4 linked regions of the Lonchura striata genome follow. The protein of the gene in region 2 purifies or fractionates together with the protein of the main gene of each other region. This does not show direct contact. Links are inferred from orthologs where the notes say so. Each region holds a gene or a part of one and is shown on either strand. Other genes may lie near its edges.

The links.
Region 1: the proteins of SEC13 (region 2) and KLHL12 purify together in Homo sapiens (affinity purification with mass spectrometry; 3 studies listed by BioGRID and IntAct, with this or other methods). This does not show direct contact. The link is inferred for Lonchura striata from reciprocal best matches to the Homo sapiens genes SEC13 and KLHL12.
Region 3: the proteins of SEC13 (region 2) and SEC16A purify together in Homo sapiens (co-immunoprecipitation; 4 studies listed by BioGRID and IntAct, counting the BioPlex papers as one, with this or other methods). This does not show direct contact. The link is inferred for Lonchura striata from reciprocal best matches to the Homo sapiens genes SEC13 and SEC16A.
Region 4: the proteins of SEC13 (region 2) and SEC23A fractionate together in Homo sapiens (co-fractionation; 3 studies listed by BioGRID and IntAct, with this or other methods). This does not show direct contact. The link is inferred for Lonchura striata from reciprocal best matches to the Homo sapiens genes SEC13 and SEC23A.

The regions. Positions count from the first base shown.
Region 1 is NC_134632.1:520,406-528,171, reverse strand, and holds the start of KLHL12 (kelch-like protein 12), read left to right. Parts: upstream 1-4,757; coding exon 4,758-4,841; intron 4,842-5,067; coding exon 5,068-5,265; intron 5,266-7,766. UniProt on the Homo sapiens protein: Substrate-specific adapter of a BCR (BTB-CUL3-RBX1) E3 ubiquitin ligase complex that acts as a negative regulator of Wnt signaling pathway and ER-Golgi transport.
Region 2 is NC_134614.1:23,854,986-23,862,386, reverse strand, and holds the start of SEC13 (protein SEC13 homolog), read left to right. Parts: upstream 1-4,384; 5' UTR 4,385-4,480; coding exon 4,481-4,483; intron 4,484-4,657; coding exon 4,658-4,702; intron 4,703-5,655; coding exon 5,656-5,771; intron 5,772-6,208; coding exon 6,209-6,360; intron 6,361-6,912; coding exon 6,913-7,046; intron 7,047-7,401. Other genes in the region: cullin-associated NEDD8-dissociated protein 1, read right to left, coding at 348-502, 1,726-1,869, 3,998-4,065. UniProt on the Homo sapiens protein: Functions as a component of the nuclear pore complex (NPC) and the COPII coat. At the endoplasmic reticulum, SEC13 is involved in the biogenesis of COPII-coated vesicles.
Region 3 is NC_134624.1:8,862,068-8,869,988, forward strand, and holds the start of SEC16A (protein transport protein Sec16A), read left to right. Parts: upstream 1-4,904; 5' UTR 4,905-4,922; intron 4,923-7,921. UniProt on the Homo sapiens protein: Acts as a molecular scaffold that plays a key role in the organization of the endoplasmic reticulum exit sites (ERES), also known as transitional endoplasmic reticulum (tER).
Region 4 is NC_134608.1:23,826,324-23,833,156, forward strand, and holds the start of SEC23A (protein transport protein Sec23A), read left to right. Parts: upstream 1-3,828; 5' UTR 3,829-3,891; intron 3,892-3,933; exon of another isoform or gene 3,934-3,970; intron 3,971-4,308; exon of another isoform or gene 4,309-4,423; intron 4,424-6,833. Other genes in the region: GEMIN2 (gem-associated protein 2), read right to left, coding at 385-506.

The sequences.
Region 1 (7,766 bases), on a different chromosome or scaffold from region 2:
AGTTACTTGGCAGTAGCCTTTGAGTGCCTCTGGTCGGTGGAGGATTATCTTCCAGAGGATGAATGTTCTCAAGAATATATTCCCAAATCTGGTGGTAGCTTTTGTTAGTTTTGACATAAGAGACTTAAAGTCAACCCAATTCCAACATTTCTTCCTCTGCCTTCCCGGAACCATTCTTCTCCCACAGCACCACAATTCTGCATGCCCTGAAAGAACTGAGAATGGGACAAAACTCTCGGAGGATAAAAACTCTCGTGGGATAAAACTCTCAGAGAAAAAGGAAACTTCTAATAACAGAAACTTCAACAGAAAACATTTTCTCTCTGAATGAACAATAAAAGACATCAGTCTTGTGTCTAGAAGTACATGAGCCTCCAAAAAACTTTTTATAACTAAAGTATTTCAAATATTTTTTTTTTTTAATCAATGAGAATTGTTTGTAATGGTCCTGCCTGTACTCACGCCAAAGCTCTCCTTGCTATCTCATGGGCACATCTGATCTGTGTCTCCAGAGTTCTTGCACACTTCCACTCCTTGAACACCACAGTGCAGTGCGAGTCACATGGGCTCCGTGAGGTCCTGAAGGTGGCTTGGATGCAACCTCAGCTCTTCCAAAATCCATCTATCTGTTCCCTGAAATCCTTGTTCCTCCCTGTGGCAGACTCACACTCGTCCAAGCCATACCAAACCATACCACCTTCCCAAGTGCACAGCTGTGGGAGAACAACCCTCCCCAGGTTACTCTGCTGGGCAATGACAGCTCCAAGCACTGTTATCCCTGTGAGCTGCAGACAAGGGAGCAAGGGAGGAGTGAGAGGGATTCCAACCATGATCCACACAAACAGCAAATGCAAAACACCTGAAACTGGGCATCTGGGCTCTGCACTGCTGTTCCCAAGTAAAAGAGTCTGACTTGTCTTTCTAAGAGAAAGAGTGAGTACATCTGAGAGAAGGAGGGCTGGGGCACAGCCAGAGCAGCTGTGCTTCCTGGGGATCACATCTAAGTATTCTTAACCTACAGGACCTGCAGGCACAAACTCACATTTGCAGAAAACCAGGTTTGCTTGGCAGTGTGACAGCAGGTTCCCCAGCCTGGCTTGTGGAGGAGACACTGAGCCAGGACACACTGCAGCCTTGGAGAGCCAAGACTGTTCCCACAAATGCTGGGAACTGTGTCCCTGATGTCCCAGCACAGGGCTGGCAGAACACCTGAGTCACCAGGGAGTGCCATGTTTGGGTCAGAGCACTCTGCAGGAAGTCCTGGGGCACAAGAGCTGGCCTGACCAGCTCTGCTGCAGGTGAGATTCAGTACCATCCACCCCAAAAGTCATGGAACACAGACTTCAAAAGCCATTCCTCCACATCCCAACTGCCTCTTCAAATAGGCACAGCACAGGTGGCTCCTCCACTCACTAGGCTGGCCCTGTTCCAGTGGCAGGAGGTGTCTAAGTCCAAGCCAGTCTGAGGGAAAAACCCCAAAGGAAGCTACAGATGAAGTTCTCCCAAGTTTCTCCCTTGCACCACACCAGCTGGGACCTTTCTATGCAATCCCAGAGGACACTCCAAGGACCAGACAGGTCCTATCAATCAAGCCAAGGAACTTGGCTGTGGACATTAACCCAGACCCAAAGTGCAACTTAAATCAGAGGCCTAGAGAGCTGGTCCCACCCCACTCAGAGCAGAGCCAACACCAACATCCCATCAGGCTGCTCAGGGCCTTGTCCAGGTACATGGAAATGCCTTTGGAGCATGGTGTGTTTGTATAGAGTGTTCTAGACAGCATCACCACTGTGGGGTTGAAATGCATTCCCACAAATGGGATTACATGTTCCTTTTCAAAGCCCCTGCTCTACTTACTTGCTTATTCTGAAAGAATATTGCTGCAGTGAATTTATTTGTACATTATTTCTGAGCCCTACGATGCACCTTGCTCTTGCTTGCACAAATATGATAATTTCTCTATTTAGTTCTTTTTTCCTATATTAAAAATATGTATTTAAAAGGATAAATAATATATGCAGAACATTAATATAGAGAGCAATGCAATATATGTCACCATTCAAATAAGATTTTGTACCTAATTAACAAACATACAGTAAATTATGGTGTGCTTTTCATCCTTTGAGATATAAAGTTTAATTTCAATACGCAATTTTTACAGTGGCTGCCTTAATTTTCCTCAGTTTTATTTTCTTGAAAAAAATAATCAAGTTATAGATAGAACACCTGATCTGGAAAGGACCCACAAGAATCATGGAGTCCAACACCTGGCCCTGCACAGACACCCAACAATCCCACGCTGGGCACCCCTGGCAGCGCTGTCCAAACCCTCCTGCAGCTCTGGCAGCCTCGGTGCCCATTCCCTGGGCAGCCTGGGCAGTGCCAGCACCTCTGGGGGCAGGACCTTTCCCTGATCTCCATCTAACCCTCCCTGGCCCAGCTCCAGCTGTTCCCTGGGGTCCTGTCCCTGTCACAGGGAGCAGAGATCGGAGCTGCCCCTCCTGAGGAGCTGCAGCCCCAGTGGGGTCTGACCTCAGGCTCCAGGGTGAACAGACCAAGTGCCCTCAGCCGCTCCTCGTGTGGCCCCTCCAGACCCCTCCCTATTTCTGTGTCCCTCTTTTGGACACTCCAATAACTTCAGATCCTTCTTATATTGTGGTGCCCAAAACTGTCCCCCAGACTTGAGGTGAGGCTGCACCCCTACAAATGGTGGGGGAGCCACTGATTGTTCCCATTTGATACTATCTGGGATTTCATCTGTAGCCTTGGACAATCAGCACCAGGTGGACACAGAGGCTGACAGCTGGGAAATGAGGTGCACAGAGAGCACTAAGCAGGCAAGTGCTGCCTCTTTCCTCTGTTCTTCCAGGCTGTATCTCCCATGCATGAGTCTGCTCTCACACTCTGGTCACACATCCCTCCTGGCTTAGAGCTCCCAGAGGAGCAGATGATGATGCAGTCTCACACACATACTGGTACCTGCCTCCAGCACAATTTCTGCTTGAGTTGTATCTAGAGAATGAAGTGCTGCTGACTCAAAAATCCCCCCTGGTAGAGCATCTGCCAGCTCTGAAGGTAGTGGTAAACTGCCCTCCTTGCCAAACACTGGATTCTCATCTCCACCTGCTGGGTCTTGCCAATCATTTGCTTCTTTAGCATGTCTGAGGTCAAACAAATCCTCCAAACTCTCACTCCATGTACAGCCTTCAAACAGAGTGACCCTGGTTCTTGGAGGAGGAAGCTTTTGAATTAATGATCAGCCTGCAGTCCAGGATAATATCTCAACCTTGATGTACAGGTTTCTTAAGTCATACTCTGTTCTACATTTAGCTGGGAATTTATCTCAGGTTGTTGACAATGACTCTGCACCTGACTGTATGGATTCAGGTTTTAAAATTCATCCCCAAGCAGGCTTGGAAGCAAGCTCGAGGGCAGGAGGGGAGCGGAGGCGGCTCAGGGCTGTCAGCTGGAGGCGATCTGCTGGAGATGTTGAGTTGCATGTGTGGGAAGAGCTCAAAAATAGTATGAATTTTAAAATCCTGGATTCTAAAGCAGGCTCCTGGTGCCTGGCTCACAGCTTGGCTCCCGCAGCCCTGGCAGAGCCAGTTCCAGGGGTTCACCCGGCAGGAGCAGCACCAGGGGAAGGAGCAGCTCACACCATGCCCAGAGCTCTGTGAGGGCTCTGCCTCCAGAGCCCTGCGGCAGCGAACCGAGAACCATGGAATCACAGGATCATTAAGGTCGAAAAAGCCCTCTAAGATCACATAGTCCAACCACTCCCCAGAATTGCCATATTCACCGTAAAACCATGTCCCCAGGGGCCACATCCACACATATTTTAAACACTTTCAGGCGTGGTGATTCCACCATTCCATGCCGACTGTCCTGGGCAGCCTGTGCCAGGGCCTGATCAGCCCTTCAGGGAAGAACTTTTCCCCAGTATCCAACCTGAACCTCCTCTGGCCCAGCCTGAGGCCGTTCCCTCTCCTCCTGTCTCTGTTCCCTGTTGCACAGCCCAACCCCCCGGCTGTCCCCTCCTGTCAGGAGCTGTGCAGAGCCACAGGGTCCCCCTGAGCCTCCTTTTCTCCAGGCTGAGCCCCTTCCCAGCTCCCTCAGGGATTCTCCAGCCCCTTCCCAGCTCCCTCAGGGATTCTCCGGCCCCGTCCCAGCTCCCTCAGGGATTCTCCAGCCCTGTCCAGGCTCCCTCAGGGATTCTCCAGCCCGGCCCCAGCTCCCTCAGGGATTCTCCAGCCCTGTCCCAGCTTCCTCAGGGATTCTCCAGCCCTGTCCAGGCTCCCTCAGGGATTCTCTAACCCGGCCCCAGCTCCCTCAGGGATTCTCCAGCCCGGTCCCAGCTCCCTCAGGGATTCTCCAGCCCCTTCCCAGCTCCCTCAGGAACTCTCCAGCCCTGTCCCAGCTCCCTCAGGGATTCTCCAGCCCCTTCCCAGCTCCCTCAGGGATTCTCCAGTCCTGTCCCAGCTCCCTCAGGAACTCTCCAGCCCTGTCCCAGCTCCCTCAGGGATTCTCCAGCCCAGTCCTGTCCCAGCTCCCTCAGGAACTCTCCAGCCCCTTCCCAGCTCCCTCAGGGATTCTCCGGCCCCTTCCCAGCTCCCTCAGGGATTCTCCAGCCCGGCCCCTCAGGCTCTCCGCGCTGCAGGTCCCGCGGGGGCCGCTGGGGGGTGCTGCGGGGCCCGCCCCGGGCTCGTTGCTCGGCAACCGCCCGGCACCCAGGGGCGGGGCGCTCCGCGCGCGGCGCGATGACGCAATCAGAGCGCGCGGCAAGGGGAGAGGGAAGGGCGGGGGGAGGCGAGGTGTGCGGGCCAGGACCTCTCCCCGCGGCGGTGAGTGCGGCCGGGCCGGGCGGGGCGGGGCCGGGCCGAGCCGAGCCGAGCTGGGCCGAGCCGGGCCGGGCCGGGCCGGGCGGGGCGGGTGTCGCCGGGGCGGCCGCGCCGCGGGGTCGCGGTGGGCGGGGGCGCCGGGCGGGGCGGGCGCTGAGGGCGGCGCGGCGCAGCGCCCCCTGGCGGCGGCGGGCGCCGTGCCATGTGGCCGTGCTGGCTGTGCCCGCAGGTGCCGCGCGCCATGGCCCCCCCCAAGGACATCATGACCAACTCCCACGCCAAGTCCATCCTCAACGCCATGAACGCCCTGCGTAAGAGCAACACGCTCTGCGACGTCACCCTCCGCGTGGAGCACAAGGACTTCCCGGCCCACCGCATCGTCCTGGCCGCCTGCAGCGACTACTTCTGCGCCATGTTCACCAGCGAGGTCGGTGCTGCCGCCGGCCCTGGGTGCTCCGTGGGTGGAGGAGGCAGGGCCGCCCAGTCCTTGGGCTGTTCTCTGTTGAGCTGCTCAGCAGCTGGGCCAGCATCCCCCCGTGGGGGCCCAGGATCCCCTTGTGGTGATCCTGGATGCTGGAGTCCACTGGATACTCCCGGTGGTTGCTCAGGATGCCCCCGTTGTAGTTCTTGATCCTTTCATGGTGGCTGTGGGTGCTTCAGGAATCCCTATGGTGGCCCTGGATTACTCCATGGTGGTCCTTGGTCACTGTGAATCTCTCCATGCTGGCCCTGTAGCCCTCTGGGTTCTGTCTTGGTGGTCCTGGAGCCTTTCGAGGTGATTCTGTGTCTTCTTATGGTGGCCCCAGAGCCGTTTATTGTGACCTGGTGGGGAGTTAAGAGGTTGTGGCAGGAACTCTGGCCTTGATTCACCGTCTGCAGCGACCACCCTGTGCCCAGCGAGCTGCCAGGCTGAGCTGCCAAGCCAGAGAGTTGTGATACATTTACTTATTTTTCTAGTGGTGCTTTGTGGTTTCCGTGGTTGCGGGCATCTTTCCTGGCCTGGCACAGAGCTGTGGGAGCCGTGCTGGGGATTCTGGGCAACCCTTTCAGTGCAAGGGAGGGTGTTTGATGCATGCTCTGGGCTGCCCTTGGCACTGGCGGAGAGCTGGGCTGTGCTGCTCTCCTGCCATGGGGGTGGCTCTGAGCCCCAGGTGCTGCACCCAGCACATCTCACCTGTGAGCACCCTGGCTCTCAGCCCTTCCTGTGAAACTTGCACTACCTGTGTGCAGTTTCCCTGAGTCACTGACAGGCACTGCTTCAGCTGCAGCTGGCACTCTGTTAAATGTCAGATGCTTTGCCTGGCTTTGTCTTTATAAGTTGTAGTCAATATTACCAGCTTTCTGTTATGGAAGATGCTTTCCTTATCCTACTACCTTCCCCGTGAGCAGGGAGAAACATTGTTAAGTAGCTCACAGGTCCTAAAGCCCTCCCTGCTAGCTGAAGAATCATTGCAGCAGAGAATTATTTTTCTCTTTGTTTCACCCAGGCACAAAGGCTGTGGCAGAGCTCTCTGTGTGCCCACTTATCTCAGTGCTGTCAGGACAGCAGGTGTTTGAAGTCCTGTCTAAAGAAACCAAAATGATGCATGTGTAGCCTGACCTCAGACCAATACCTTTTTTTGTCCATATCTTCATGAAATTTGTAAATTCATCAGGTTTGTGCTCTTTCTCTGCATAAAGGAAATGTAATTAGATGATGAAAACACACAAAGCACATTCAATCCCTAGTGGCTGAAGTTCTCTGTTCTCCAGTAGCTCTAGGTGCTCAGCAGTACAGCAGAGTATCTCTGCTTCTCTAGGTTTGCCTCCATGTTCCTGTCAGTGCTTTTGACTTCTGGACTTCGTGTGCAGAGATCCCATCACTCCGTGTGCTCCAGAAGGTTCTTTGTGGCTGCTAACAAAGGCTGGGGGTTGGTGTGCTTTGGGTCTGAGCTGAGATGTCTCTCCTTGCTTCGTTACACTCGTGTTAGCTGTAACATCATAGTGACCTTCATTCAGACTTGAGAATCTTCCTAGGAAATTAAATTCTTCCTGGGAAAGTAGCTGTGCTCAGTAGGCAAAATTGCTTGTTCTCTCGTGCTCCCACAATGCCTCTGCTTTAAGGGTTTCTTTTCTTTTGCTTGGTTTGTGTTTCTTCCAAACTTGTGTCTTTGTTATGGAAACCCTAAAGTGACCAACCTGCCAAGGGGTACACAACTAGGGGCCAGGAAGGGGCAGCTTGGTAAGCCTCAGAGTGGACATGTTTCCTGTGTGTGTCAGCAACAAGTGTGTCGGGGCCTGTGATGGGACTGCTTGGACACTCTCCAGGCACTTGTGGGTGCAGGGTTTGGCCAGACTGGACTCCAGGGAGCTCAGAGTCTGTGTGGTGTCATGGATTGACAGGCCCTGCCAGGGCTTTCTCAGCTCTCCATTGCTTGCCTCCTGCAGGTCTGGGGACTGCTTGGCTGCTCTGATGTGCCAGGCTGGGCTGCATGAGGCTTTGTTCAGAATTGATTTTGGGTTTATGTCATGGCATCCCTGGCATTTTATCCTGGGGTTATGCCACAGTATTCCTGGTGTCACATCTGTGCATAGCCAGTACAGCACTGAGACTGTCAGCAGATACTGTTGTCATAAAGAACTGCCTTTGCCTCTCTGTGTCTCAAGTTTCCTTCCTTCTCTCACTTCTGACTTTTAACATTTTAAAATAAGTTCTCAGTCTAGCTTAGTATTAATTTCTTCCCATTTTATGTTCCTTCCTGTTTTACAGCATGAGAAGAAGCCACTGACCACCTGATGAACCCCAGGTTTCTTAGAGCACTTTCCTTTGCCCCTGTGCTAAGCAGTGTGGGAAAAGTGAAACACCATCAGTTTTACCTGCAGGCTTGTTCCTTGTAGTGAAAATTGCAGAGCAGTTTTATCACCCCTGGATCTTGGCTGTGCACTGGT
Region 2 (7,401 bases):
TCAATCCCTTGTACACTGAAAATAGAAATCATCACTGGGAGATCTAATCAGGACAGATGAGATGGCTGCAGAGGAAAATCCTGTTGCTGGGAGCCTCAGGTATCCCCTGAAAAGCTTATGCATTTTTATGATACATAGTTCCAAACACAGCTCAAGTTTTCATTTAATTCTGTCTTTCATCCCATTGGTACCTCAGCTCTACTGTCCCTCCCCTGATTTCGCAGATTGTCCTCTGACAGGTGAGTAAAGAATCGGTAACTTTTAGGCTCTGGACTCTACATTTCACCCCATTTGCCAAAGGCTGGGACTGCCCGTCCCTCGGTGACAAATGGGAACAGACAGTGTACCTGTGGCAGCTGGTGGCAGCTCAGAAATAACTGTTTTGAGGCCGATGCTGGAGATGTCTCGCAGCTGTTCCTTGTCCGACAGCATGTTCGTGCAGAGTGTGTCCACGATGGTCTCCACCTGGTACTCCTTCACTTTGCCAACCAGCGGGCCCAGGCTGCAGGAGGAGAAGCCACTCAGGATGAAGTGTCCAACTGTCCTCATCCTTCAAACCATCACACTGCTCCTTCTTAAAGATCCTGGCCACCTATCTGGGAATGACTGACATTTCGCTCTAAGCACCTCCTTAGGCACGGAAAGGAAATATTCCTGGTTCCATTTTGAGGCCTCCTCATTATCACACTCTGGATGGATAAGAGACTGCAATGAGTATGGACTTACTGCAAATACAACCAGAGATAACCACGCAAAGAAGTTGAGAAGTTGGTCCTCTGCTCAGTGCCCAATGGTTTTGCTTTAAAACCCAGAATAAACCAACCCAAAGCAGATACAGGAGATACAGGAGCAGGGCCAAAAGAAGTCAGGACAGTTGGAATCAAAAAGAAAGGACCAAAGATATCAGGGAAAGAACAGGGATAGAAACAGCACGTGGTTGAAAAGAAAGGAATACTAATAGGATCCACAGCAGGAAAAAACAGAGGAACCCAAAGTTGTCTTTAAATGGTACACCTTTCTGGAGTCCTGGGGTGAACTGAGCCATTCAATGGCATTTCTAGACTGAACACGCCCACTTAGCCATGCTAGGGAAAGAGATGGGAAAGAACATGTCAGCAGCAGGATCCCTTTATCAGAGGATTCACTAATAGAGGAACCTGCTACTTTTGTTCACTTGGATTAAAAAAATATGGGAATGGTCACAGGCAAAGCAACAGCACCGGCTGCTCTCAAGAGTCAAGGCAGGGAAAAATCCAAGTGCACTATAAAGTTCAATAAAAACTCCTTTGAAGAGAAGGATTTGGACCTGAAGTTAAAGCCTACTATGTTTAGTACCATTGCTATCAAAGACAGATCTACAGAGAAAATCAGCACTGGATTTCAAAGCCTGAGAGAGGTCAAGAGGTTGATGAGCAAAATTTTGAAGTATGCTTCTGCCTGAAGAAATAAAATCCTAGGGCTCCACCTTCCACATGGTAAGGTTTGTAACAGGAACACTGAAGTACTTCTAAAATCATCTCTTGCTGCTACAAAGGTATCTGTGTGCTCACCCTTGTGAGTGCCTACAAGGGGAGAAAGTGCAGTGCCTACAACAGAGAAGCAAAGTCCCTTGCAAAGGAGGTTTGAGGGAGGTGTCAAGGGCCAGGCTCCGCTCTCACACTCTCTGCAGTCTGTGATGATTTTATTAATGCCAGGGAACATAACTATTACTGCCTAGGCTCTTACCATTTGACAGCAAGGTTCTGTACTTCCCCATTTTTGTCCTCCAGCAATTTCAAAAGCATTTTCACAACTTTTTTCTCACTGTCTTCATCTAGTTTTATTGAGTCTTTCTGCAGTTCCATCATCAGGTCATTGGTGGCCATAAACCTGAAAGAACACAAGGAGAAAGTGGATTGGCTGATGTGCAGACACAAATGCATCACCTTTGCATCACCTGGACAGAATTTGGCAACTAGTGCTAAAACACTAGTTGAAAACACACTACCAAAGAGTAACTTACAACACTGTCCTAAGAAAAAGGAAAATTAATACTATTTTACAAGTAGATAACACTTACAACATAACACTAGATAACAAGTAGATAACACTAACAGGGGTCAGGTAAACAAAAACTCTAAAAGTGGCATGTAGCATGTGTATTTTTCTCAGCGACTAAATGAAGATGGTTAACTATGCCAGAAAAAAAAATCATGATTGGTTTTTTAACCAGTTTTTCACCTGGCCTAGGAAAAGCAGTCTGGGGACTAAGAATTCACCTAGCTCTGTTCTTTCTGTCTAACTTAGCACTGGTAGTATGACCCCAGACATGGTCAAGCCCTATCACTTTCAAAAATGAAAAAAGAAAGTCATGACTTCAAGCAAACTACACCTCAGAAGTGCACTAGGCTACATTTAGATTGCTGTGAGCAAAACCAGTCAAGTAACTACCATTCCAGATTAGAAAGAAAAACAAAGACCAAATTGACAGTTTTCTAACAGGAACAGAATGGATATTGAGAAGCTCTGGAAAGTATCTCTTTTTCCAGGAGCAGGAAGTGCAGAAGGTGCTGTTATAGAACTCTGAGGTTCTAAGAAATCTCAGTGTGGCTATCGTGTGTTAGCTGCTTTCCAATGTTAGCCCCACACAGAATGGACGTCTGACAGGAACCAGGAAGTCCTCTCTTGTTACAAAATGACAGCTCCTTTTTAAATTAGGCTTTGATGTCACTCATTCAGCACATAAGAGCTCTCATGTACAGGTCATCATTTGAGGCTTCAACCTGCAAGCCCGTTCCTGAGCAGCAGTGAGGCACACCTGAACGAGGGACTGCTGTGCTGTTCCCCAGCCAGCCCAGAATCCAGCCTGAGAAAACAGCAGTAATGTGCCCTAGGATGTTAACGTGCAGTCTATTTGTGATTCTGCGAGAGCTCTTCAGCCGCACTCTGCAGTTCAGCGTCTGTGTGGAACCAGCATGACCAATTATGGCCACAGGCTGAACAGAGCCTTCCGCGGCAACACATCCCGCTTTGGCCTGGCTGCCTGCTGCCATCCTGCCCCAGGAGCTTGGGATCTCACCAGCAGACCCATCCCTGAGGGGCAACAAGAGAAGCCTGGCCCTATAACAGGTCATGTTTAGCCATGTGCTGGGAGGAAGTGGCCCTGCAGTACCTCTGGGACATGACGTGCCTGGGGTCGGGCACATCTCACTTGGAGTGGTAACTTTCTTTGAACAAAACTGTTTGTACAACTGCTCCATCACTGACTTCTTTATAAAGTACCTATTTTAACATCTGAGAACATCAGCAGCTTCTACAAAAATCAACCTACTTTTAGGCTATTAGTAGCCCCTTTCTTAGACCTCAAAATACCAAGTCTGGCCCAAATATTACCTTCCAGTTTGATACTGGGAGAACAATATGCTAAGGAATGAAATCTTTCATACATGTCAGTTTTAATTACTTTTTGATAGAGTGCCTTACATATCGAGCCATCTGCCTAACCCTAAAAAGATGTCAACTTTTCTGCTGACATAAACAACGAAATAAAAGTATCTCAGTTCTGTTAGGAAGGCACATTTTCCCATCACAAAGAAAGTTCTCCAAGCAGCCTGAGCAGAGACAGTATGTGCAGCATCTATCACGCAGGGTCATGGGGGTCTACTCACCCCTTTTAATGCACTGACTATCTCACCAATTATCAAAAGAAACTAGAAGCATTTCTGCTACGATGTTCTTTATTCACAAAACAAATAACAATTTGGAGTCCAGCTGCCCGGACTTATTCCCCCTTCCCCTTTGACCAAGCACCAGTCTAGGCAAGGGAGGGGAGCGGCGCTGGCCATGCCCCCTGAGCCAGGACACAGTGGGCTTGATGCCCCGTAAACAACAGCGCTGCGAGCTCCCGCACAGCGCTGCTGCCGCGGCAGGACCCCGCTCTGGGCAGCCCCCTCCTCCCAGGGCCCCGAGGTGTCCGCAGGTGGCTGCCGCCCGCAGGGCCCGTCCCGCGGTGCCACACCTGAAGTCCTTGTCGGTGGAGGTCATCTTCTCCAGCAGGCTGGAGATGTGGTAGGAGACGCTGGCCATGGCGGAGGCTCTGCGGGCCCGAGTCGCGGCCGCTCCGCTCCGCGCCGGGCGGCCCCGAGCCGGCGGGAGGAGCCGGGCCGGGCGGCCCTGGGGCCGACAGAGGCTCTGTCCGCGGCCGGCGCAGGACGGGGCAGCGCCCGGGGGCCGACAGAGGCTCTGTCCGCGGCCGGCGGTGCCTCTGGTCCTCGCGGCAGGACAGGGCAGTCCCGCTCCCCCCTCGCCCTCTCCTGGCCCAGCCGAGGCAGCGGCCGCCCCGGAACCCGGCACGAGCGGAACGCCGTCGCAGGCGGGCGGGGCGCGGCGGGGCCGGTAGTGCGCGGGACCGGCGTGCCACGTCTGAGCGCGCGGGCGGAGGCCGGGCCGGGAGCGCCGGGGCCGGGAGCGGCGGGGCCGGAGCAGCCGGGCGGGAGCAGCCATGGTGAGGCGGGGGGGGCGGGCGGGTCCCGGTGCGGGCCCGAGCGCAGCCGGGTGCGGCCTCGCGGGGCACCGGGCACGGCACAGGGTACGCCGGACCCGGCGGGGCGGCCGGGGATGGACCGGGGCCGCAGGGGCCGCGGCCGCGCTGAGCTCGTTGTGTTCCTTCTCCCCGCAGGTGTCGGTCATTAACACCGTGGACACGTCCCACGAGGACATGATCGTAAGTGTGCCGGGAGCTGCGCCGCCCGGGCCGGCGGCTGCTGTGGCAGAGCTGCTCTGGGGCTCTCTGCGAGCACTCGGGGCCGCACGTATGTGCTGTAAGAGCGCACTTGTGGGGTCCTGGATGCAGAATGCGGTGTGAAATCCTGATCTTGCCGTTTTATACTGCGTGGAGAGGAAAACTTTGCTGGGAGGAAAAGGGAAAATTATTTTAAATCTTAATGTTCATGTGAAAATTAAGGCTTGTTTCTGCCCGTTTCTGTGAAGTAATAGTATATTTTCTGGTACAGACCTTTGGTGGATAATAATGGTTTTCCTTTAAGTGGATGTATCTGGGAATAGATGTATTATTGTGGGTAGGCAGAAACGCTTCAAAGTAATTTGTTGAAGGTAGGAGCCCAGTTAGGTGAGCCTAGTTCTTCAGGAAGAATTTCTTCACAGAAAAGGCTATTAAGCATTGAACAAGGCTGCCCAGGGAGGTGATGTAGTCACCATCCCTGAAGGTGTTCAGGAAATGACTGGTTGTTGTATGCAGTGTTCTGCATAGTGACAAGAGATAACCTTTGGTCAAAGGTTGTAGTCAGTAACCTTGAACGACTTTTCCAGCCTTAAAGATTCTGTGGTTCAGTGATGGTGAAGTTTCAAATATAATTAAGAGCAGTATTTGTACACCCACTTGACATTTTAAGAAACAGAAATACATAACTGCTCACCTCTTCGTAGTCAGCAGCCTCTATTCCCTGTCATGAAAATGCTGTGGTTGTTGCTCAGAATTCCCTGGACTCCTGTGTAACTTTTGTGTAGTGATTGAGGAAGCAGCTGGGGAAGCTAGTTGGGCATGCGTGGGTTGTTTAGAACCGTTCCTCTGACCTGGTGTGCAGGGCCTGGGGTGGCTGTGCTGCAGCAGTCAGTGGCCGTGCCGTGCTGAGCACAGCCCTCCCGCTCTCCTTGCAGCACGATGCACAGATGGATTACTACGGCACGCGCCTGGCGACCTGCTCCTCTGACCGATCCGTGAAGATCTTCGATGTCCGCAACGGGGGGCAGATCCTCATTGCGGACCTGAGGGGGTGAGATGTCACACCAGGAGAGGTTAACTGGGGCAAAATCTTGGTGCTTTGCCTGGTGCTTTGCCCTTCTGCCCTTGGGCAGCACAGAGTGCAGGTTGACTTGCATGCAGGGTGAACTCCTCCAAGACTGCTGAGGAGCTTCTCAGAGCTGGGGTGGGGACAGAGCCCCAGTGGGAAGCACAGTGGGGCTTGATCATTCATTTAGTACTGTGCACATGTGATTTTCAAGAAGTAATATACTGCTACAAGTTGGAATTGTTTTCTGTGGCAGTGAGAGCCCTGTGCTGGGACACTAACATTGCCATCTTGGCATTACTCATTCCTCATGTCAGAGCTCTAATCCCTCCCAGCACAGCACTTCACAACGGTGATCTGTGAGGCAGCTGCAGATGCAAGGGGTTTCTCTCAGCTTTTCCTAATGATGTTGTTTCTTGCAGGCACGAAGGTCCCGTGTGGCAGGTTGCCTGGGCTCATCCTATGTATGGGAATATCTTGGCTTCCTGTTCCTATGACAGGAAGGTTATCATCTGGAAGGAAGAAAATGGCACTTGGGAAAAGACCTACGAGTACACGGGACATGATTCTTCAGGTATGGAGGGCTGGAGTGTGGAGCTGGGAAGGAAAAATGAGGAGATGAGGGGATTTGGGTAAGACTGATATAAATCTGTTACTGTTAAGTAAGAAAGTCTGTGTCAAAAGGAAAAGGATAAAAACTGAAGAGAGAGTAAATCTGTTCAGCGCTAACAAGACATTTCCCTAGGGTTGTATTGCTGGATAACCCACTACTGATTCATACCATGTGTCCATAAGTGTTGGTACACAAATAAGTCAGCTTTCAAATAAAGATGTCACGGAACTGAATTCTTGAGGAAAATATAGTTTACAGTTAGAAAAACTATTTAACCGTGCTGTATTTTGTTTTAAAATTGAAAATGTTGTGTTCAGATGATTTACCCTCCCAATGCAGATCTGTTACTCAGTAAACAATGCTAATTGGCTGGCTTCTGCTGAAATTTGACTCATTCTCAGCTTTCAAAGCCACTTGCTTTTGGTGACCGTGCCACTGATACCAGTCAGTGAATTGGTCAGTCAGCTTTAGGTAGTCGCTGTGCTGTAATCTGGTCTGTCTCGCCCTTCCCAGTGAATTCTGTCTGCTGGGCACCACACGACTATGGACTGATCCTGGCCTGTGGGAGCTCTGATGGGGCCATTTCCTTGTTGAGCTACACGGGTGATGGGCAGTGGGAAGTCAAAAAGATCAGCAATGCACACACGGTGAGTCTGGTCCTTTGGAGCAGCTCAGAGTTCCCAGAGCTGCAGATAACACCGAGGTGATGCCTCAGAGACATGAGTAGATAAGTACTGAAATGTGATGAAATTATGTGAAACATCCAGAACCAAGAATAGTTTCAGTTCATCCAGAGTAGGAAGGTATATGTTTTAGTCACTAAAATGTGAAATGTAAAGTGGAAATATGATGAAGTTCACTAAACAGCACTGGCAATGCCTGTTTATTGGGCATTATTGTTAAATACACTGCTGAAAGCTACCTGGTAAGAAATGGCCTTGGTTCTAAGTATACATGCATCAGCTGGAAAAAAATGTGGGACTTCTGTTTTTTTCCCAAAAT
Region 3 (7,921 bases), on a different chromosome or scaffold from region 2:
TTTGTTTCAAAAATCTAAATGAGCAAGTCTTAAATATATCATAAATATATCACCTTATAGAGGTGTTGGAATATCACTCACTCGGGTGCAAAAGCAAGCAGACACCCCAAAATTAGATAACGTGTATGGGACAGGCAGATAGAGAGCAGTTAATCAAGAAAACCTAAGAAAAGGGTTCCTTTTCCTCATTCCTTTCTATTAGAACACCAAATAAAATGGATATTTCTCAAGGCACAGCGCCTTCCTGAGCACTCATCTTAGTTAACATTTCAGACCATTGTTATTGTGACACGCCTAATATGAGTGATAAAAACATCACGTGGTGTTGAATCTTCCTATGTTTTATAAACTAGAGTGTAGTTTAAGAAAAGATATCTTCTGTAATAAAGTTATCTACATGCAAAGTTGTAGTTTGCAAAAATGATGTATTTTTTTTGGTTAACTGATTTGCAATAAATGATGCTTCTGGGCATCTAGATTTTACTAAAACTGGAACTTGGTGTTTCTGTTACGGGTCAGTTGAATTCTGGATTTCAGAGCTGCTTCTTGCACAGAGGACTGGAGCTTCCTCACCATCTTGTTCTCTGTGTAAAAAAAAAAAAATCAGAGAAGAGCTTTGGACAATGAAAATTTCTCTTTAATTTCTGCTAAACTCTCACTGATTTGAGATACCTGAGCAAGGTTCTGCCCATTTAGCTCTTCACCTGCTTTGGTATCCTCAGGCCATCGAGTCAAGATCTAAAAGGGGAAACATGGAAAAATTGTTTTAAAGAATGTCCCTCATGCATCTCCAAAAAACCCAGGAACAGCAGCACCAGAGGGAGAGTTTTACTTGCGTCACTCTGGGCACAAACACCACCCAGAAATGTTTGCTGTCCTTGCTGTGCTCAAGATTTTTAAGGTAATTTCATTTCATTTCATTTCATTCTTTCTCTACCCCACAGGGACTCTGCAGTGCAAATGCAGCTGCAAAGTCCCCAGATAACTGGATATAAATAGTGGAGCTGTTGCCCTCCTCCCAAATCACATAAGCCTGGAATGCTGGTATTTTCCACTCGGTGGCTGGGGAGGGAGAGGGTTTGTGTGTGTGTCCATCCCCAGATAGATCCAGGGCCACCAAACACCTGCTGTACAACTGGTGCTGTAACAGTGGCGTTTTATTTGATTTTCTATTTTATTTTATTGTATTTTATTTCACAGCAGTGAAATGCATCTTCAGAGGTCAGGGATGTGCCATTATTCCAGGAAAGAGAGCCTCAAACTCCATGGAAAGGAGTGTTTTAAGGGAGAACAAAACCTGTCTTCCACCTGAGAAACGTGGATTCAACACCCAGAGGGACATCCTGGAGGGAGCTGGGCTTCCCAGGGATGTGTCACCCCCTTCCTGTGCCTGCATCCCATCTGGAATGCACCAAATGGAGTTTGTCTGCCTCCAGCGTGACTCACACATGAGCTGCTCAGGAATCCCACACTGCCCAGCCTTCCAGGCTTCTCCCACACATTCCCACCCCAAAACCAGCCCAGCACGGCCCCGCTGCTGCCAGTGGGGCTGGGACATCCCAAAGTGAGGAGGCCTTAGAAGGATCCTCTCTGCCTCATCCAGAGTGAAACTGAGGCACTCGTGGGCAAGGCAGAAATTTGGCCTGGAATAGATGAAAAAAAAAAAAAAATGTTTATGAGGACATGGAAAACAATGTGACATTGCAAGAGGCAGCACATGTGGGCTCGTTTAACAAGAGGGGATGCAAAGCAGGGGATTTTCCATATCAGAGGGACAGGATGAGGAAAGAGGGGGGCTAAATACCATGGAAAGAAGCAAAGGGATGGATATTAATTAATTGTCCACAAGGTAATTCAAACTAGAAATCAGCAAAGGTTTTTAAGGAGTAGGAGAGAAAGGATGCAAAAATTTAGGTTTTAAGTGCTTAGCCCCAAATTACTTTGCTTTATGAAGGCATCTGGTGACCAACCAACCTGTGGGTACATGAGATGATTGTGGTGTCACAGATCCAGCTGGGATGGAGGCTAAATTAAAGGAGAAACAAGAGAAATGGCCCCAGTTTCAAACTCTCCTGTCACACTTAAGGCTTCTTCCCACACCAACCAACCCACGCTGCCCCACCACAAGCTCACCTTCGCCTCGTGCAGGTGAAGATTTTTGGGAGCTGAATTTGAAGCTCTCCCAGCACCAGAAGATGCCAAGGAGTGACTGGATCATGGCAAGCACGGCTGTCTCAGCATTCCAGGTGAAAAAGGCACCAAAATCACATCCTGCTCCGAGGGAAGGGTGCCGGAAAACAAGATTAGCACCGGCTATTGCCATGGCAGGTATGTTGGTGCTCTGAGGAATCCCTGCACCTGAACTATTTGTTTACCTGCTGGAGGGCTTGTTTTTTTGTTGGGTTTTTTTTTTTTTTTTTCATTCTTTGTTTTCATTATTCCTGCTCAATTAGATGGGACATTTAGAAACTGCTACTCTGTATTGCTTCTCCCTCCAGGCTGTCGGTGTTTGCTCGCAGCTGCTCCAGCCCTGATTGAGGAATTGTTGCTGAAGCTGAAATCAGCCCCTGAAGAATGTGCAAAAGGAGCCAAATTCATCTCGGGCTTAAAATCAAACAGGGGTTAATGTGGCTGGGGTAGTCTGAATAATCACAGCAACTGGATGAGTAAATAAATAAGACTCAGGTTGTCCAGTTGGCTATCATGGTGCAGAATGCTAGTAAGGGATAGAGATACTCTCCTTTAGCCTTTATCCACGTTTCTAAACTCAAAGAATGATCCTTTTCATAGCAAGCCCGTGGGGCAAGGTCGTGTTTCTGGTTGTGTGCAACCTGAAGACTGAATAAATTACCAGAAAAAGGTCAGAATTGTTTGTGTTGTATCCCAGGTGAGCTGAGGAACAGAGCAGCTGTGGCTGCCCTGGATCCCTGGAAGTGTCCAAGGCCAGGCTGGACGGGGCTTGGAGCACCCTGGGATGGTGAAAGGTGTCCTTGCCCTGGCAGGGGGTGGAATTTGATGATTTTTAGGGTCATTCCCAAACCATTCTGCGATTCTGTGAAGCAGAAGAGAAGGACACACGCTGTCCTCACTGGCAGGGATTTTCATTTATAATGGGTCACTCAAGTCCAGAACTACTGCTGAGTACAGCAAACCAGCTAGAAAACATCAGGTTAAAAAGGGATTGCATGCTTTAATGTAGAAATTCTTTATAATCACGTGTTTATCAGGAGAACAGCAAAGGTGAGATCCATTGTTGGTGTTTGCATCATGTCCCCCTATATAAGGGGGTTAAACATGTAACATAAATATCTAACTATAGACACAGATGTCAGCTATTGATGCTATTTAGCACACAAAAAGCCAATCGAGCTAATTAAAATCATGTTTCCTCAGATTACACCTGTTGGGGGAAATATCAAGGGAGAAGCAGGGCTTCATCTGCAACTCCTGCCTGCGCAGGGAAATGGTGTTTGACAAGCTGGTTTTTAAGAATGTTCCTACAAAAGAGGGAGATGAAAGGCACTTAAAAATCACAGCGCTGCCTCTGGTTCCCACACCAGCATCAAAGGCTGCTTCCCCTGCTTGGCCAGGGCTTTGAGGATATTTCTCTGCTTTAATGATCCAGCATGCAGGAACAGCTCTGCACTGATAGTGACCCTTGATTAAGATGTTTGTTTAGGTTGCTCGTGTTTTCCTCTCCAAGGCTTGTTGTTGGGTGCAGGGTGTGACAGTGTCCGTGCTGGTGGGTGACAGGCATTCTTCTGGTGGCTGGAACGGGGGTTCACCCCCCTAAAAAAGCTTCGTGTTTGTGTAAAATGGAGCTGCAACTCGCAGGGCCACGAAGCTGGTGCAGGGTCCGGAGCACCCAGAGAGGCTGGGGGGGCTCAGCCTGGAGAAAAGGAGGCTCAGGAGGGAATGTTTTGCGTTGCTTCTGCGCTTTTGATTCCCAAAGAGCTGTTTTTATGGAGTCACAGACTTGTGTGGGTTGGAAGGGACTTTCAAGATCATCTCCTTGCGCCCTGTCCATCACCTCATCCTCCCTGACGGGAGGATGGACACAAGGGACAGGGTGAAAGGACACGGCCTCCAGTTGTGCCAGGGGAGGCTTAAATTGGCTATTTGGGAAAATTTCATGGCAGAAAGGGTGGCTAAACCTTAGAACTGTGCTGGAATCATCATCCCTGGAGCGTTCAAAAGGGCACACGGATGTGGCACTTGGGGACGGGGTTTAGTGGTGAACACGGTAATCTTGGAGGGATTTTTCAGCCTTAAGGATTCTGGAATTAGTTTCTGATCCTGTTTTTGGACACGTGCATCCCAGTTAATTTGCCTTTCCTAATTAGGCCCCCACGGACGTGCAGGACAGGACCTCGCTGTGCAGCGAGTCACAGCTCAGCTCCGCGAGGCATCCTCATTTCCGTGGGCACGGATTCCTCCTCTCGGGGAGCCCCTGAGCCTCCCCCGCCCCGGCCCGCGATGGGCAGCGGCTCCCGCGGGGCCGGCACCGCACCGGCGGAGCTCTGTCCCGCCCTGGCGGCCGCCCGCGACACTGCACCCGCACCGGGCAGCGCAGGGCACCGCGACCCCCGCACCGCACCGCGCTCCGCCACTCCCCGGCGGCACAGGGGAGGCGCCGCGAACGGGACTCGAACCCGCGACCTTGCATCCCGCAGCCGCTCCAGCCGGGACTCGAACCTGTGATCCTACATCCCGCAGCCGCCCCGGCCGGGACTCGAACCCGCGGCCGCACGGCAGCGCCGCCGCCGGGTGCGCGCGCCGCGGTGGCGTCACGGCGCCGTGACACGTCGGCGGCGGCGGCGGAACCCCGAGGCGGATGTGCCAAGATGGCGGCGGCCGGCGCTGGGGCCGCGCGGGGCGGCGGCGCCCGCTGCTGAGGGGCCTCGGCCGGCGGCGGCTGCCAGGTACCGCGGGGCGCTGCCGGAGAGGAAGGACGCGGGTGGGCTGCAGCGGCGTCAGGCTCGAGGCGCGGTGCCCGCCCCGCCGGGCCTCGGGGCTGTCGCAGCGCACGGAGCCGGCGGGTCCCGCCGCTCCCGGGCCCGGCTGGGGCGGGCCGTGCTGCCGCAGCCGGGGGTTTTCCCGCAGGGTTTGGGGTTCCTTGGGCGGTCCTTGTGGCTCTGCGGGGCTCCGGAGGTTGTTCCGGGGGAGCGGCGGGGGAGGGTTCCGAGGGATGCTGGCTGTGGCTGTCCCCGCTGGCAGCGCTGCTGCCGGGGCAGGGTTGTTTGGGTTGTTTTTTGCGAGCTGCCAGGTGCCCCAGGTGGGTGCAACTGGTGCTGACTCAGGAGTGCGGCTGCCGGAGAGCCTCGGCACCTGCTGGGCTGAGAACCGGTGACTGGATCCTTTTAGAATAAACCGGAATGCTTTCTGCTGCCTCTGTGCTTTTGGTTCCCAGTGAGCTGTTCTGATGGAGCCACGGACTGGTTTGCTTTGGAGGGACCTTAAAAATCATCAAATTCCACCCCCTGCCATGGGCAGGGACACCTTCCACTGTCCCAGGCTGCTCCAAGCCCTGTCCAGTCTGGCCTGGGACACTTCCAGGGATCCAGGCGCAGCCACAGCTGCTCTGGGCATCCCCACCCTCACAGGGAAGGATTTTTTTCCTGATACCTCAGTAAACCTGCCCTGTGCCTGTTTAAAGCCATTCCCCTTGTCCTGTCGCTACATTTTAACATACATAACATATATGTTAGACGACATACATATATAGGATAACATTTATAACTCTGGTTGCTGTTGAGGAAAAGCCTGGTAGGAATCTGTCAGGAGAGTGAGTGATGTAGAATGTGTTCAATCTGTCACCCACATGTGTGCAGATGTGCGGCTGCCTACGTAAGATAAAACTGAAAAAGTAGTTGCTGATTTTAAAGCTGCAAATCTCATTTTTCCAGATGTTCTGTATTTGAGATTGCACTGGGTTGTTGGGGTTTTTTTGGTTTTTTTTTTTTTTTTTTATTTGGTTGGTTTTTTTGTAGTTGTTATTGGTGGTTTTTTTAGTCATTTTGTTTTTAGGAATCTGTGTATGTGAACACGTTATTTATTGTTTGCTTCACTTGTGAGGATGAGAGTTAATATTTGTCCTCTGTAACCTGCTTTATGGCCGTAGTTATTCTGTTCAAGAGTAATTTATTTAGATAGGTTTTAATTAGTTGCCCCCAGAGGAATTATTTACTTATAGATGAAGCTATAGAGCTCATTGGGTGAACTTAATTTTATGGCCTCATCTAAAGGGTTTTAATCCTTTTTCCCTTTTTGGCAATGTTATTTTGGTACACTGGAAACGCCTTCTGCACTCCTGGTGACTCATGTTTAGCAGGCTACTCTGCTTTATCAATTAATAAACCAGCTGAAAGTTAAGAATTTCCAAACTCTACAAAGCAGAGGTGGATTGCTCTTAACTTGTGTAGTTATTTCTAAATTCCTTAAAATCAGCATTTTTGTTAATCCTGGATGAGGCACAGGAGGGTCAGTAGCACTGAGTTATCTTCTGTTTAAATTACTCGACATGGGCACATTCATTTTATTTGGACTCAGTTCCTCAAATCTTGCTTGCTTTTACTACTGTGTGCAATCTGTTAATATTAACTTTGCTTCTGAGGAAGCTGATCTCTCATACTGAACCTCTGTCATGCACCATCAAAGATCCTGTTAGAGGAATGGCAAGTTCTGCCTAAAAGTAGGACTTTACACTTATTTTAATTAGCTAATTACTGGTGCTGGCTGTTACAAAAATATGGTAAATTATTAAGATTTTTTTTTAATATGACGCTGCAAGGGGTAAAGTCCACATTAGACACGTGGAAGTGGGTATTTAAGTTGGCTTTTGTGCTCAGCTGTATTTCAGAAACAACTTTTCTATGAAAAACAGAGCTATTTATTAGATACCAATATTTTGGTCAGTGCAGTTTGTGCTTTCCAGGTCATACAAGCCTTGGCAGATGGTTTAATTAGCTTTTTTCCTCCCCAGCCCAAAGTATGTTGTATAAACACATGCTTTTATTTGGAGGGGAGAGAGGGGTTTTTGAAATCTGGTTAATACAACAAAGAACATGATGAAAAAGAAATGGGGATGCCCAGAAGAGCATGTGGAAATTGGGGTGGGGGTTTAGGCAGGACTTCCTGGAAACGTGGCTGGCAGCAAGGCTGGTAAGCACGGCCAGCTGGAAAACCTTCACCTCAGGATTGTAACAGGAGAAAAGATTGCAAAGTCCTGAAACTCTTTGTAAGCATTCCTTGATGGAATTCAGCAGCTGTGCTTCAGAAAGAACGGTGGTCACATGCAAGTAACGTGTGAAACTGATGGAGCTCTAATGCCTCTGTTGAAATCTGTTTGGTATCCTTCCCATCTTAATAAAACACAAATTTATGGAGTCTTAACTCTAGATATGGCTGTGGAATGTATGGATATGGGGGAGAAATTGAGAGTCTCTGTTTGAAAGAGGGACCTGGATTCTACACAAGGCTGTTGGAGACATTTTTCTTTAGGAAGAGTTGTTCTGATGTCCAGTAAAGGCTGTGTGCTGCGGTACTTCAGTGTGCTTTTTATTGGAATATTTTAGGTATAAATCTTTATGAAATACGTGTAGTATTTTTGATAACAAGAAACCAGAAGTGCTTTGCATTTGAACTTCTCTATAACTGTTACAGTTTTGTCCTGATTACAAACATCTGACTTTTCTGGCTGCCCATTTTATTACTCTTACTGACAAGATGCTGAATCTTAGAAGAACTCCAAATGAGAATTGCACAGCTTTTTTCTTTTATAAGCAGAAGAGCATCTGGTGTGGAGCAATTGCTGTGGGTACTTCACTCTGCATATTATAAACAATGTTTGTTGTGTGCTATGAGAAAACAAGATTATCATATGCTGATAAGGCTTCACTGAGCTCCACTGGCTAAGTATTGA
Region 4 (6,833 bases), on a different chromosome or scaffold from region 2:
CGTGCACACGACAGCCCAGAAATCACACCCTGTGCCCGACGGCGCTGTCCAAATGTTTCCCGAACTCTGTCATGAGCTGTTCAGTGCTCAGCCACCCTCTGGGTGAAAAACCTTTTCCTGATAGCCAGCCCAAACCTCCCTTGACACGGCTTCATGTCGTTTCCTGGAATCGTGTCGCCGGTCACGACAAGGAAGAGATCGGTGCCCGCCCGTTTTAAAGCAGGTGTTTAAACACCGGTGTGAAAGCACCGGCTGTGCCGGCGAGGGCAGCACGGCGCGGCCGCCCTGGCGCGCCCGAAGCCCGGCCCGGGCAGCACCGGCTGCCCCGCCACACTCGCGGAGAGGCGACGGGCCCGGGCCCGGCCCCACCGCCCCGCCACTCACTGGACGCGCTTCAGATACTCCTGGGGCGTCCTGGGAGGCACGGTGGGATCGAAGTCCTCGGCCAGGTCGCAGTCGCCCACGGGCAGCAGCCGCGGCATCAGCTCCTCCAGGCCCGGCTCCATGGCCCCGCGCGGCTCTCGCGAGAGCGGCGCTGCCGCGCGGCGCGCGCCTCGGCCCGGCGCCGCTGGGCGCGCCCCGCGCCCGGCGTCGTGGTTGTCCGGGCGGTTGTCCTCCCGCCGGGGAGCACAACAAGCATGGCCGAAGAGCAGCGGCAGAAGAGGGGTTGCCAATCCACTGCCCATCAAACTACGCCTATTTTTGTGGTGAAGAGGCGTAAACCTTTAATAGCTTCCTTCATTAGCCGCTGTGACATTATTCTAATATGCTGTAGTTTTTGCCAAAAATTCTTTAAAGCTCACCCGTTAGTACGCTCTTATTTTACTTGTGAAAACCCAGTATTCGTAATATTTGTCCCTTTCTTGAAATGCTTTGAGATCTGTGGTTAAAGTCAGTTATATAGAAGTTAATGATTTTAAATTTACAGAGTTCCCATTCTGGAAGGATCAATGCCTGAGCTGTTGCTGTATGAATTTTTCTGAAGACTACAATGTGAAAGCATCCACATGTCAGAAAGCAAGGTAGCATCTGTGTTATAAGTTGAGGCGAATAATTTGATTCAGCCTTTTAAGATCAATTAATAATTTTATTAATTACAGCAAGCGATAGCAAGCAAAACAGCGCTGGGTTCAGCTGGGAGCCTGGCTCCGCCAAAAGCTGACAACCTTTCCTTCTCTTCAGTCCCTTTTTATCTTGCATGAGTGGGGGTGATGAGTCTCGTTCCACCGTGGTTATCAGTCCCAAAAACAATGGATTTTACAAGTGGGGTGGTGTGTCTTCTTCCACTTCGGTTTATCAGTTTTCAGCAACAATGGGTTTCCACTGCGGTTATCAGTTCCAGCCAGTCCTGCAAAATCTTTCACAATCTTTGTGGTTACCAGTCAAGCCTGCAAATTCCATGTCCCGACTTCCCCCCCTTTTATCCTAATTTCATACTTTTGATGAACAAACAAGTCAATGCAGTTTCTCACATCTGCACAAAGGGGCATTGTTTCCCAGGTGAGACAAAAAGTGAAAGGGTGATGCTGTAATCATTTACATTGTGTATTATGAAATTCCTGTTACACAAATGTCCATCAGTATATTATCTCTTCAATTAGTTCTGCAGTGTTAGATTTAATATTTCAGAGTAGTTTGAGATACTTCTGACATAAGTTAAAAAAAAAAAAACAACGTTTTCTTTTTAACCCCCTGCAAGCCTGTATTTCAGTAGTTCTAAATAAACATCTGCCTTAACTCCTCCTCTCCAATGGCTTTTGTTTGTTTTAAATTGTTTCCAAAAGCACCTACGTGTACCAGGGAGATTTTTTTTCCTGAAACCCGGATCTAACGTCTTAGTTGAGTATGCAACAATTGCAGTCACCACTAGAAATAAAACTTGCCTACTTAAACCTACAGTGATAACTCTGGAAAGGCTGATGATCAAGACAAAAACTTTGGTGAGTCCAGCTATATAAAGTTCTTTTATAATACTTTAGTAATATTCAGAACTTATTTTTCCTATTTGTTGTAAAGTCCAGAACTACGAACTTCATAGAATCAAGCGAATCCACAGATATACGCTTCAAATATACTTCCTATCTTTAGATCACTTTTTATTCAACTTTCCATTGATACTTGTTAAGCAAAGCAACATATTTTTAATTATTGCAGATAGTATTTCTTACCAACAATGCTGATGCAATGGCTAGCAAATATGACTCAGTGGAGAAAGAGGAAAATGAAATTGGAAATGTATATATTTCTTCTCACCTGCTTAGGCATTAAGGAAGAGTGCCTTCCCCAAGAAAGGTTGCATTAATGGATATGCCTCATTGGCTAAAAAACCAAACCAAAACAAAGTAACATATAAATTCTGCATTATGAAAAATTAAAATGTTTTCAAATCTACATTCTAGATATGAATATGGAGAGCTAGCAAAATATTTTCTTATAATGAATAAATGAGTTTATATCTATTTTCTACTTTTCTTTCTCCTTGATTTTCTCTGTGGTTAGCAGCGTCATAACAGCTGCATGACTTTAAGTTTAGAGCATTGGACTGAGTTATTATGTAATGAAATTTAATTGTACTGAAGATTAATTTAAAATACTGAATATATTTTATTTGTAGTAAACTTTCAGAGTAGTATACTTTGCTGTTTTCCCTTCTTGCCCTTTGAGTGTCTTTAAATGTCAGATGCCTCTTTTTCTCTTATTTATAGAGTTCATCCTGCATTTTAGACTTCAGGACTTGCCTCTTTTTTGGGGAATTTTCTGAAAATGTTTCACAAGTTATTTGAATACTTTTGAAATTACAACACTGAGTAATTTGCTGTGCATCTGTTTGAAGTGTGGTAGGGTTTGGGGGTTGGTCTGTTTTTTTCTTTTTTTCTTTTGAGTTCAGGGTGAGGATGTTACATGTCATTGGCAAGCTCTTGCTTAATACTCCCACAAATGGCAGTGAGATTTGTGAACAAGAAAATTAAAAATCCCTCCCATAAATTCTGCTGTTGCTTAACTGTTCATGTTTTTAGTCTGAAGAGGACTGGTAAACCATACTGGAGAGAGCAATGGCAAAGAAATTCTATCATAATCACATCTGACATATAAAAAAAGAGGGTAAAGTTGTTTTAGTAATTTGTATTTGCTTGATGGTCACAGAATATTTTCCGAGTTGCAATGAAGGAGGCAGGATATGGTAGCCAGTCAGCAGAATGTTTTCCAGTCCTCCCCCATGTCTGGATTAATTGCACTACGACATCTCAGGAAAGACAGAAGTTATTGTTCTGGCCTTTCATGACAGCCTTGTGAAAAACAATTCCTAAAACTGAAGAGTTATCTGTTAACTTCAGTTTGTGGATAAAAAAGCTGACCACACTAACAAGATAAAGGATTGTTTCAGGTTTAAACCCCCAGGAATATAACTTCATTTTGTTTTTTCCCCAGGCACTCAGAAGAAACATCTAAACAATCTTCCAGATTAAGAAGTTGCCATAAGTAGTCATGGTGGAAGATGGGAATAAGCCCGGCTGTTTCGATCCCGGAGTTCGTGCCGGACGGAGCAGCCCCGCACAGAGCAGCGCAGCCACCGGCGGGGCCGCCGGCAGCCCCGGGGCCGCGGCACTGCCGCAGGGAGAGACGGCCAAACTGCCCCCGCTGATCGGGATGCACACGACCGACCTTCAGAAGACAGCCGAACAGGGTGGCCAACACACACACGCGAGCAGGAGCTGCCAAGGCGGCGGAGCCACGGTCGGAGCCGCGGGGCGGCTGACGCCGGCCGCGCTGCCCGGGCCGGGCAGGCCGGGGCGGCCGGCGGGCTGTGCCGGGGGCGGGCGGGCGGCGGAGCTCAGCCCGCCCCCGCTCTCTGCCCTTGACGTGGCGCGGACTCTCCCATCAGCCATGTTGGTGCGTCGGCGGCGCCGGGGCGGCTGCGGGCGGGCGGGCGGGGACAGCGAGCGCAGCGGGAGCGGCGGCCGGGACGCGGGTGAGCGCGCAGCGCGGCGCTGAGGGGGAGCCCGGCCCGGCGGAGCTGGGGTGCAGGGAGGGGAGAGGGGCAGCCCCTCCTCTCCCCGCGCTGGGAGGCACGGGCACCCGGCCCGCGGGGCCCCGCACGGCTGTGGGACCCGAAGGGAGCGTGGTGGGAGCTCCCCGCGCCTCCTCCGTGGCGCTGGGGGATCTCCGGGTGCCAGAATTGCTGTCGGGGCCCCCGGCGGCCTGAGAGTCCGGGGCTGCCGCCGGGCGCTGGTCAGCAGTGCCCGCGGCCTCCCGGGCCGGGCGAGCAGCCCCAGCAGCCCCAGCTCGGCCGGGGGCCGGCGGGCAGGGCCTTGAACGGCCGGGGTGAAGGGCAGCGCTCCCCGGCAGCGCCGGGGTGCTCCTGTCCCGGAGCTCCGCTGTAGCTGTGCCGCTGTGCCACTGACGAGGGTGCCTTCCAGTGTAGGTAAAACGAGAAATGCAGGCCCTGCTGCGTTTGATTATGCATTGCTTTTTTTTAAATTTAGGTACCGTAGTTGTTTAAAGTTTTCAGTGAGAGATCTGGGAGGGCAGATTTGGAGGAGGACTGCGTTTGAGTGGTGAAAATGTTAGCAAATTGCTTTAGATAACTATTTAAACTATTGTGCTCATGTATTTTAGTTCTTTGGAACCGAATTTGTATCTGGTATGTAATTTGGTCATAAAAAATGAATTAAGGGTTTATTATTAATCTCTTTTACCAGGTTGTTAGTGCCTAATAATTTGAGAGAAGAGGTGTGTTGTAAGAAAAGTGTGCAGTGAACTGTACTCATTTAGTGGTAGTTAAACACACGGTGCTGTGAGGGACTTCGACCTATCTATGCTGGAAGTCTTACAGTGCTGTAGAGAAAAATGTTTTGATTTTGTATATGCGTGCAAGGATTAGGGGATATTATTATGTGGATATTCTGTATTGGGACATATTTGTCTGTGATGTGGAAACGTTTAAAGGTGCTGATAGTCAACCAGTGACTCTCAATGCAATTCAAGTGTGGCTTCGTTTGTGACACACAGTTGAGGTTGTCAAGGTGTAGGTTTGCAAAGGTATGTTCAGCTGTGGCAGTGGGACGGAGGAAGCAAGCCAGAAAGGACTTCTGGTTTTTCTGGATATCCTAATCTGTAGCAAAGGTAAAGCAGTGGGAACTGTTGCTTTTCAGCTGGCCTGAAAATCCCTTCTCTGAGGTTTTCTGAGGCAGGCAGTGCATATTTTGTGGCACTCAGGTGTCCGAAATTTGGGGTGTAGCCTGTAGGCCAGGAGGGTTTGCTGTTCCTGTGTAATGCAATACATCTCCACACCTATCAGAAAATGTGTCTACATAGCTGTAACAATGATACCGAATGTAACTTGTCAGACCAAGAGTTCCATATTTGATGAATGATGAAATAGGTAAGCATTATTGGCTCTTGAAGAGGAAGAAAAGGACAGAAGAAAAGGTGGAGGAGATCTTGATTATTAGCCACTTTTGCCTTCTGAATATAAAATCCATAATTAATAGAAAATAACAGTATTTAACTCAGTAAATCCAACAAGTCGTTTATGTATCTATGTGTATTAGTGATTAGTCACTGCACACTGGTGTTTGTACATTGCCCTTTCAGGAGCAATAACTGAGTGGTAAAAGTAATACCCATGTACAGCCATTTCAAACATAGCTAGAGCCAAATGTGGAGAAAATGCTTTGAAGTTCAGGGCAGACAGTGTGACACGTTGCAGTGTTTGGAGCTGGATTTTGTGAGTCTATAGTTGCTGCTAGTGAATGGCTGGAATAGCCTTAAGTTGCAATTTTCTCTGTCTTCTCAGGAAATAATTTTTAAATTGAGAGAAAATTAAATTTGTGGTGATAGTGGAGATAGCTGTATTGTGCAGATTCTTGCATTAATAGCCCATTTTTCAGAGATAAAATGCCTTCAACTTTTTTACAAAACATGGATGGATTTTGATTTATTAGGAGAGAAATTTCTTAAATTCTATATCCTCTTCAAATCCCAGGCTCTTCTTTCCTCTCTTATCTGAGTTAATTTCTGTCTCTAATTTCTCTGTAGAATTACAATTTCGAGATATTCTCTCTTTTACTCAGTTTTGTCTCCCCCCTTTTCTGAAATTCGAGTAAAAGCAATGGTAGAAATGCTCTTATGCACAAAGTCTCTCATGCTCCCTGTGTTGTAATTGCCGTGATGTGTTTAGATAGGAGCAGATTTGCTCCTAATATCAGTAAGATGTGCCCATTAAAATATTGTCAGTTGATAATTTCTTAAGGATATTAACTGTGAAATGCAGCACTTCCCTTTGCTTTATGTATTTTGTTAGTCTGTTTTCTTAAAAGTTACAATCAGAATAAAAGTGTTAAGTTAGGCTGTTATTTAAAATAACTTGAAAAATTGTCAATTGTCATAGAAACTAAAGGTGCAATGCCATTATAATTTTGATAGAATTTCTGTGAGCCTCCTGTAATGTATGTAAGATCAGAACTAAGAATATCAGTGTGCTTAGGAGCATTCCTGATTTAAATTTCAACTCAGGAGGATTCCAGCATTTATAATATTCATTAACTTGTTTAAGTTAATGAATATAACACTAATTTTAATATATTATAATAGTTATAATATATATATATATATATAATATTTATTAACTTGTTTAATGAACATTTATAATGTTCATTAACTTGTTACAGTATAAATTGAGACCTAGGAGTATTTCTAGTTCACTTTAGGTGGTTCATGTATGCTTTTACAGTAAATCCTTAATTATTTGGGAGTGTGAGTTTAGATATCCTAGTTCCTGGAAAAACCTGTGCTGTATATACTATAAAAGGTACTGTGAAGCATGCAGCAGA